2 linked regions of the Coturnix japonica genome follow. The protein of the gene in region 1 binds, or shares a complex with, the protein of each later gene. Links are inferred from orthologs where the notes say so. Each region holds a gene or a part of one and is shown on either strand. Other genes may lie near its edges.

Evidence for each region. Proteins that work in one complex are often made in the same cells at the same time.
Region 2: STRN3 (region 1) and PDCD10 share a complex: the UniProt entries of both Homo sapiens proteins name them as parts of the core of STRIPAK complex. The link is inferred for Coturnix japonica from reciprocal best matches to the Homo sapiens genes STRN3 and PDCD10.

What each region holds. Positions count from the first base shown.
Region 1 is NC_029520.1:30,872,817-30,876,475, forward strand, and holds part of STRN3 (striatin-3), read left to right. Parts: intron 1-245; coding exon 246-319; intron 320-882; coding exon 883-964; intron 965-1,266; coding exon 1,267-1,446; intron 1,447-1,871; coding exon 1,872-2,004; intron 2,005-2,601; coding exon 2,602-2,743; intron 2,744-3,659. UniProt on the Homo sapiens protein: Calmodulin-binding scaffolding protein which is the center of the striatin-interacting phosphatase and kinase (STRIPAK) complexes.
Region 2 is NC_029524.1:18,278,611-18,282,269, reverse strand, and holds part of PDCD10 (programmed cell death protein 10), read right to left. Parts: intron 3,185-3,659; coding exon 3,131-3,184; intron 2,031-3,130; coding exon 1,913-2,030; intron 1,353-1,912; coding exon 1,226-1,352; intron 883-1,225; coding exon 804-882; intron 504-803; coding exon 421-503; intron 1-420. UniProt on the Homo sapiens protein: Promotes cell proliferation. Modulates apoptotic pathways. Increases mitogen-activated protein kinase activity and STK26 activity. Important for cell migration, and for normal structure and assembly of the Golgi complex.

The DNA.
Region 1 (3,659 bases):
GAACAAATTATTGGAGAACATACTTAATTCTCACTTTTGTGTCATTTGATTATTATAATTGTCTTTCTCAAACTTGTGTTCTTGACAAACTAGAACTAATTGCATGATACTGTAATTACTGTAAATTTTATTTGGATAAGGGGTGTTATGTTAACATGGTTGTTTTAAACAGGAGTAGGAAAATATTTGAGCTGATAAATTAGTACAGGATGCTTTTGTTAAATCTTTGCACATTTTTTTTCCAGGGCAAAATATCATAAATTGAAGTATGGCACAGAATTGAACCAAGGTGACTTGAAAATGCCAACTTTTGAATCAGGTAACTTCTATGATAGTACCTGTTCTAGAACAATTTCTTTGTCCTGTTCTAGATTTGCTCAATTTAGTGTAACTTTCTCCTTCCCCCCTCAATTACATTATAGAGGAAAAAAAATCCAGGAAAAGTTTGATATTAGGTAAATATTTTTGATTCGAAATCATAATGAATTGACCTTTCTCTTCTGAAACAACTGTGAGTATCAGTGAAAGTTTGGAATAGTTGCACAATTCCTTATTAAGCTGCTGCTTCTCTTACTGCTTTTTAAATTGCTGTTATAAAAGATTTAGCATTTCGTGTCAGTTTGACATCCATCTAGAAGGGAAGTTTAAGTGTACAATATGTATCAGATTTACTGTTGTTTGGTGCTACCACAAGAAAAAAAACAACCTTCTTTAATTAAAAGAAACTACTGCATAAGACTGCAAGTAACTTAAAGATTGCTTTTTGTAAATAATTGCTTTTCATTTCATTGTTGCATTGTGAAAAGTCAATTTTAAAAATTAAACAAAACCACAAAAAAAACCTTCTGAAAACCAGTAACTGCAAATGGTGCTGTCTTTCAGAAGAAACCAAAGATACGGAGGTTCCTGCAGTACCTCAAAATAGCCAACTCACCTGGAAGCAAGGCAGGCAGTTACTAAGACAGTAAGTAGCATTGTTGGAATGTTGGTGTATTCATGCTTTTTCCTGAGGTCTCAGGAGCTGTGTATGTGCATACTTTTTGATTTGGAGTAGTTGAGGTGGTCGCACGGTGGACCATGATGCAGGAGTTTGTAGTTTTGATCTTTAAACAGTGTACGTGGAGCTTTTTTGTGTGAGATGGACAGAGATAAAGCTTATCTTTTGTAAAATATATTATAGTAGTATTAATTTCTAAGTGTCAGTTCAGATTTATTTCCTTTTTCCATCAACTGTGCTTTCTTCTTTCTCCTTTTAATATATATTAGGTATCTTCAGGAAGTAGGTTATACAGATACGATATTGGATGTACGCTCCCAGCGGGTAAGGTCTTTGCTTGGGCTCTCCAATTCAGAACCAAATGGTTCAGTAGAGACAAAGAATTTAGAGCAGATCCTCAATGGGGGCGAATCTCCTTCATCAAAACAAAAGGGACAGGAAATCAAAAGGTAAGTGAGGAGGTGAGAAATGCGTGTAGTTTAAGTTTGTCTATGTAGTCATTTTAATGTACCAAAGTTCGCGAAGAACTTCAGACTCTCAATTCTCTGAACTGTGAGCGTAGCTAACTACAAATGATTATGAACTTCATTGAAACTGATTGTATGCCTTGCATGGGAAAGATAGGGTTGTATGACATGTATTCAGATTCAGTGCAGCTTTGGAATTAACATTTTAAGGAAAGTTACAGCTGAGTGATGTAACTTGAAGAATTAGACTGCTGTAGAAACTTCATACAGTCATTTCTTGGTTTTTGCTAGTTTTTAAAATTGTTGAGCTGTTGAGTCAGACAGCCATTGTGTTAATGTTAATGAATCTCCCAAAAATCTCATGAGCAAGTAAAACTCTCTCCTTGTTAATTTTTTTGTTTTTGTAGGAACTCTGGTGATGTTCTTGAAACATTTAACTTCTTAGAAAATGCGGATGATAGTGATGAAGAAGAGGAGAGTGACATGATAGAAGATATTGCAGAAGGAAAAGAGAAGCACCGGATAAATAAGAAACACAAAGTAAAAAAACAATTTTAAGATATTGTTTTGCATGCACAAACTCTTATCTTAAAAGGGAAATATCTTTCCCTTTTTTCCCTAGATAGTTAAAATTATGTCCTTTCTCTTATTCCATGCTAGAAAATTCTTTCACTGTGATTTTTTTTTTTTTCACACAAGGAGGTTGATTTAGGGCAGTTATACCGCCAATTTTCTGTAGTATTCTGTAGTGTGGAAGTGCCTACGGCTGCCTTGAATTTTCATAAGTAACTCAGCTGTCATTCAACATTATCTCAGCTTAGTGTAAGTTTGAATGTCCCAGTTTGACTTGTTAGGAAGGTTTTTGCACTGTACCTGTAGTTAATAACTTGTACATCTAGTACAAGTTGTTGCTAAACCTCATGTCAGTATTCTTTTCTAATGATTACTTTACTGTGCTGCTCTCTTTTCTTCTGTAGTTGTTGTAAACAACTCTAGTTCTGTGTGGATTTGAATGTGTTTCATGTTGAAAATAAAGCAAAGTCTTCAATGAGCATAATCGCTATCATTTATAATTAAACATTTGAGTAGATAAAGGTTGGTGGTTAAAATGCAGAAATGTTCTTCATTTGATTGCAGATTGGTAATGAAGGTTTAGCTGCTGACCTTACTGATGATCCCGATACTGAAGAAGCCTTGAAAGAATTTGATTTTTTAGTGACAGCTGAAGATGGTGAGGGAGCTGGAGAAGCCCGAAGTTCTGGAGATGGAACAGAGTGGGGTAAGATGCTAACAAAACAATTTAGAAATGAAGTAATACTTGTTCATGACAGTACAGTACCTTCACAAGTTGCATGGGTGTGCGGATGGTTGTGATGCTGGTTATTAGCTATAAATGTATTGAATGTTGAAGCTTCCATATTTTATGTTATTTTAGTTGACAGAAATATAATTATACTTCCAAATGTTTTGCTTTTGATTCCAGAAAAATCCAATTAAAGGAATATATTGCTTGAATAAGACCAGGATTCTGAATGTTTTTGTATTTGAATTAAATTGGCTTTTGAATTTTGATTTGTGTTCTGTTTTTGTGATAGGGAGCTTTAGACTTGCGTTCAGCTTAAATTAATTTCTTTGGTGCCCTTGTAAAAATTAATTTTGAAGGTACCAAGGATTAGAAAGTGTTTGTTGCTTGGAAATAGCATCAAAAAGTCAATAACCCTTTCTTTTAAATTTTTTTCCAAGCTCATCTTTGTTTCTAGTTGGAAGGTGAAGGCATGCAAGTTGTACTACATACATAATACTACATACTTTTGGTAGTATTTACTGGGATTTAGAAGCATTTTAGTTGCCTTTAAAGACTATGTCATTTGACTAGTGTATTGGTCTTTTTATTTAGCCAAGCAGGCAGGTCTGTCAGTATGAGAATTCTCTTAGGCCCTGAAGCCAAGGTTCTGATTTTGAATTTGCACTTTCCTTTCAAATATTGAGTGCAAAGAATTCTGGTTTCTGAATCAGTCTTACCAGTATGATGTATAGGAAGACATACATAGCACTTCTTTTCTTTCATGATGTAGCTCTGTTTTCTTCTCAGTGTTTTTTTCCACTTTCAGGATTTCCTGTCACTAGCATCCCTACCATTCCTTGTTCTAGTGAGGATTCAGGCTCTCTGATAAAAATGCAAAGAACTAATGTTT
Region 2 (3,659 bases), on another chromosome or scaffold:
TAACAAAGAAGCATGGGGTCACTGAGCTTTCCAACTCAATGATACCATTATGAGTGACCATGTTATTTAGTGCTCTTTCTTCCTCATGTCAACAGGTTATCTTATCTAGTGTGTTGTTCAAACAGATGTAAATTATTTTCTGTTCCACAAGGAACATAGATGTTACCTGGGATTTTCTGAAATACTGATAATACCTGAGGCACTGTAAAGCATATATCCACAACACACAGCATTCACTTCACATAGGGCTGAACAAAGCTGGTCTGTTTTTCAGCATGTATGGGGTAAGCACACAACACATACAATTCTTGGCCCCACTTTTTCAGTCAAATGGCTTTGTCTTTATTTTCCTCTAGTCACACCAATTAGGTAAACAAAACCTTTTCACTGTGTATAAGCTTAGTATAAAAAGACACTTACTTGCCATCTTTAAAATAGGTTTTCAGAGTATCGCTGAAACTTTTGGAGTATTTTACAAACTCTTTCTTTTGGTGCTCAAGTGCCTGCGGAAAAGAAAAAGCCAAGAAGTCTAAGTTGAGATGCTATTGTGTACATCACAATTAAAAATAAAAGAAAGCACACAAGGATTATGTAGATAAAAGAATGGGTTTACTGTGGTAATGGGTTGTTCTTTCCCTGTATGTTTTTTTAAAACCAATCTTCCTACGGAACTGCTGAGAATTACCAAACAGCCATGTTAAAACACTGACATTGACCAGTTATGCTCTTCTGTTCATCCTACAAAGAAAACAATATGCTTCCTCTTCTACTAGAGAAATACTGTATTAGGTTATTTCACATACCCTCCGGTTCTGGTATTGGTATTTCTTGAAGACATTATTTACTGTGTCAAGAAGTTCCTTTATTGCACTGGCGATGTCCCTGTTTGAAAATGAAAAGAATTGTAATATGCATAAGCTATTCAACTCAAACATAGAAATTTAATCCTTTTTTAATAGTAGCACAGAAAGAATTTCAAAGAAGACACAGAAATCAAATGCTAGGAAAGTGACATGGAACTTCAGCTGCTAATTACTGATTCAAATTACTATCTACTAACACAAGGATCTCTTAAATGTTCAGCTCTGTTCTTATTTCTATGTGTATGAGAAACTCTCCAAATGAGAACAATTTTACTAGTGCCTCCCACAGCATTTGAACATTCAGCTCCAAACATAAAGTTAGGCCCCTAAAACTCCATAAAAATATTAAATACTGTACTTACTTGATTGTTTGAAGAAACCTCACTCTGTCATTGATCTCATCTGGAATCTTACTAAGAATCTGTTTAAGTGCTCGCGCCTTTTCATTCAGATCTTGGAATTCTGGCTCTGGTCTTTCAATCATATATTCTAATAAGTTGGATATGTGAAAAAAATACCATTAGTTTTCCATCAAAAAGTTTCCAGTGACAGCTTAAATAAAACATTACTTCACAAAATGCACTAGCAACCATGATGGATCTCAAGATACTAACAGAAGCAGACCAACAATAACTTTCCTTACTGAAAAGTGAGGAAAGAATAGAGCCCAATTTTATTTCCAAAGAACACTGACAACATTACAATAACGAAATACAGTTTTAAAAGAACTTTAAGCTCTCCTGTCATCGTAACTGATGCTTTCAATTTGAAACAAACTGCAACAGGTGAACTTCCCACACAAACCATTCAAAGGATGCATTTTCTTCCTCTTAGTCAAGAACATGTCTGGGGAGTTGCAGTGGTAGGCTTTTTCTTTATTCTCTCCAAAATAGGTACTCAGAGAAAGAGCTATTGCTTCTATTGAATATGGTTGAAAAAGAATCTACTTAGTAAAAGTAAACCTCTTCTGAAAAATAGGCAGAGCAATGCATGCTCTTGTTTAGAGTACGATGAAGAACGCCCTTACACAACATGAGGCAAGATATTACCTTCTACATCATCTGCTGCCATACGTAGGAGGGACTCTGTAAAATTCACATCCACACTTTTTTTCTCCAGAATTTTCATAATAATGTCCTGTGTGAGGCCTGGATTTTCTTTTTCAGCCTGCATTGTAGGATAAATTACTCTAAAAAATGCTCTAGAAATGCAATCATAATATTGCAAGCACAAAAGCAGATTTTAATGCAAGTTGTTTTGTACACCAGTGTTTGCTAGAAGAATTTCCATTCTAATGCCTTTAAAAAAGCACTTTACACTGACAGCTGTTCTTCCAGTATATTTTTCTTGGGTTATATCAGCAGTTTTATATGAATGACTTTATCAATATGCCCTTCCCCTCATTACAAAATATTTCTTACTCAAATTGACAGAACCATCTCTATGCTGTTGTACTCCTGCAATGTAACATTAGCAGTATTCACAGTACCTGTGTTGCTATCACAAAAATAGGCTGTGCTGAACAAGAATGAGGGTGTGTGTGTTCTGAGCTAGGACTACCATTTCCAATAGGGTTAGTTTCCATGCTATTTGTATTCAGCTTAGCTCCTTAGGACTATCTGTATAGAACATTTAACTTGGAAGAGTTCTAATTGAGAGTTGTGTCTGCTCAGGTACACTTTAAGAGGAGAAACAGGAAAGCACTGCTTGGTTGCTACGCTCGATGTACCTTGCATGTATACTTATTATTGTTTCTGCTAAAAGAAGTCTAAAAGATAGCTACTGAATGGTACATAGTAAGTTACAAGAAATATTTCTTCAGTTTCCTGCTAGATTTAAGTAAATACAAACACCAAATACCAAACTTATATTTCATCCACAAAAAAAATTTCCCTAACTATTAATCTTTCCAAGCCTGATACATTCCTAGTACTTCTGAACACCTATTCTACATAATCTGGTCCCATTAACACTGGATTTGTTACCTCTATTTCCTGTTCCATCCTCACTGATTTATGCCACCTTTACGCTTTCATACCATGTACACAAGGTAGGATTGTTTAAAATTGTTTAATATACTTTTAAGTATATTCAGATTTCTAATATGTGCACACCTTCCAAACTTACAGCCCATGCAATTGTACACTCAGTTTTATTGAAAACTATTGATCATAAAGGATGCATTCTTCAAATACAATAATATAAAGAATTTAAGTTTCAACATATATTGTTTAACTGACCATCCTTCAATACAAATTATGTCTCACCTTAATAAAAGCTGCTCTCAGTGTCTGAGCTGCAGATAGATTTACTCTTTCTAGCTGCAAAAGAAGTTTAGAATTATTAGTAATTTCACTGTTAACAGAACAACTCAAGCACTCATGCACTGCCTTATGTGGCCCAGTGAAAAAGGGTATTGACAGAAGAACAAAGACTGATCTCATCTGAGGGACAGACAAGATGAAGTTTGATCCAAACAAACAGCACTCGCTATGCCTTGCTTTTATTCAGCTTGCAGCAGAAATCTGACAGAAGACTTTTGAGAACATCTTGACCTCTGATACTCGCAGAGAGACAAATATTCTATTCAATTACAGCCATTAGCAGTAGAAATGGAAATGTATGAGGCTGTTCACAGGTATGTGTTACACCATGCATCACTTCTAGTCACATAATGTACAGGTTCCTAATGCTGTGTCAGATCTGGGAACATTAGAGCTGAAACAGCTCCAAAAGCAGACTCCCAAAAATTGCTGTGTGCATTTACAGGCATGAAGGGGAAAAAGAACACTGAAG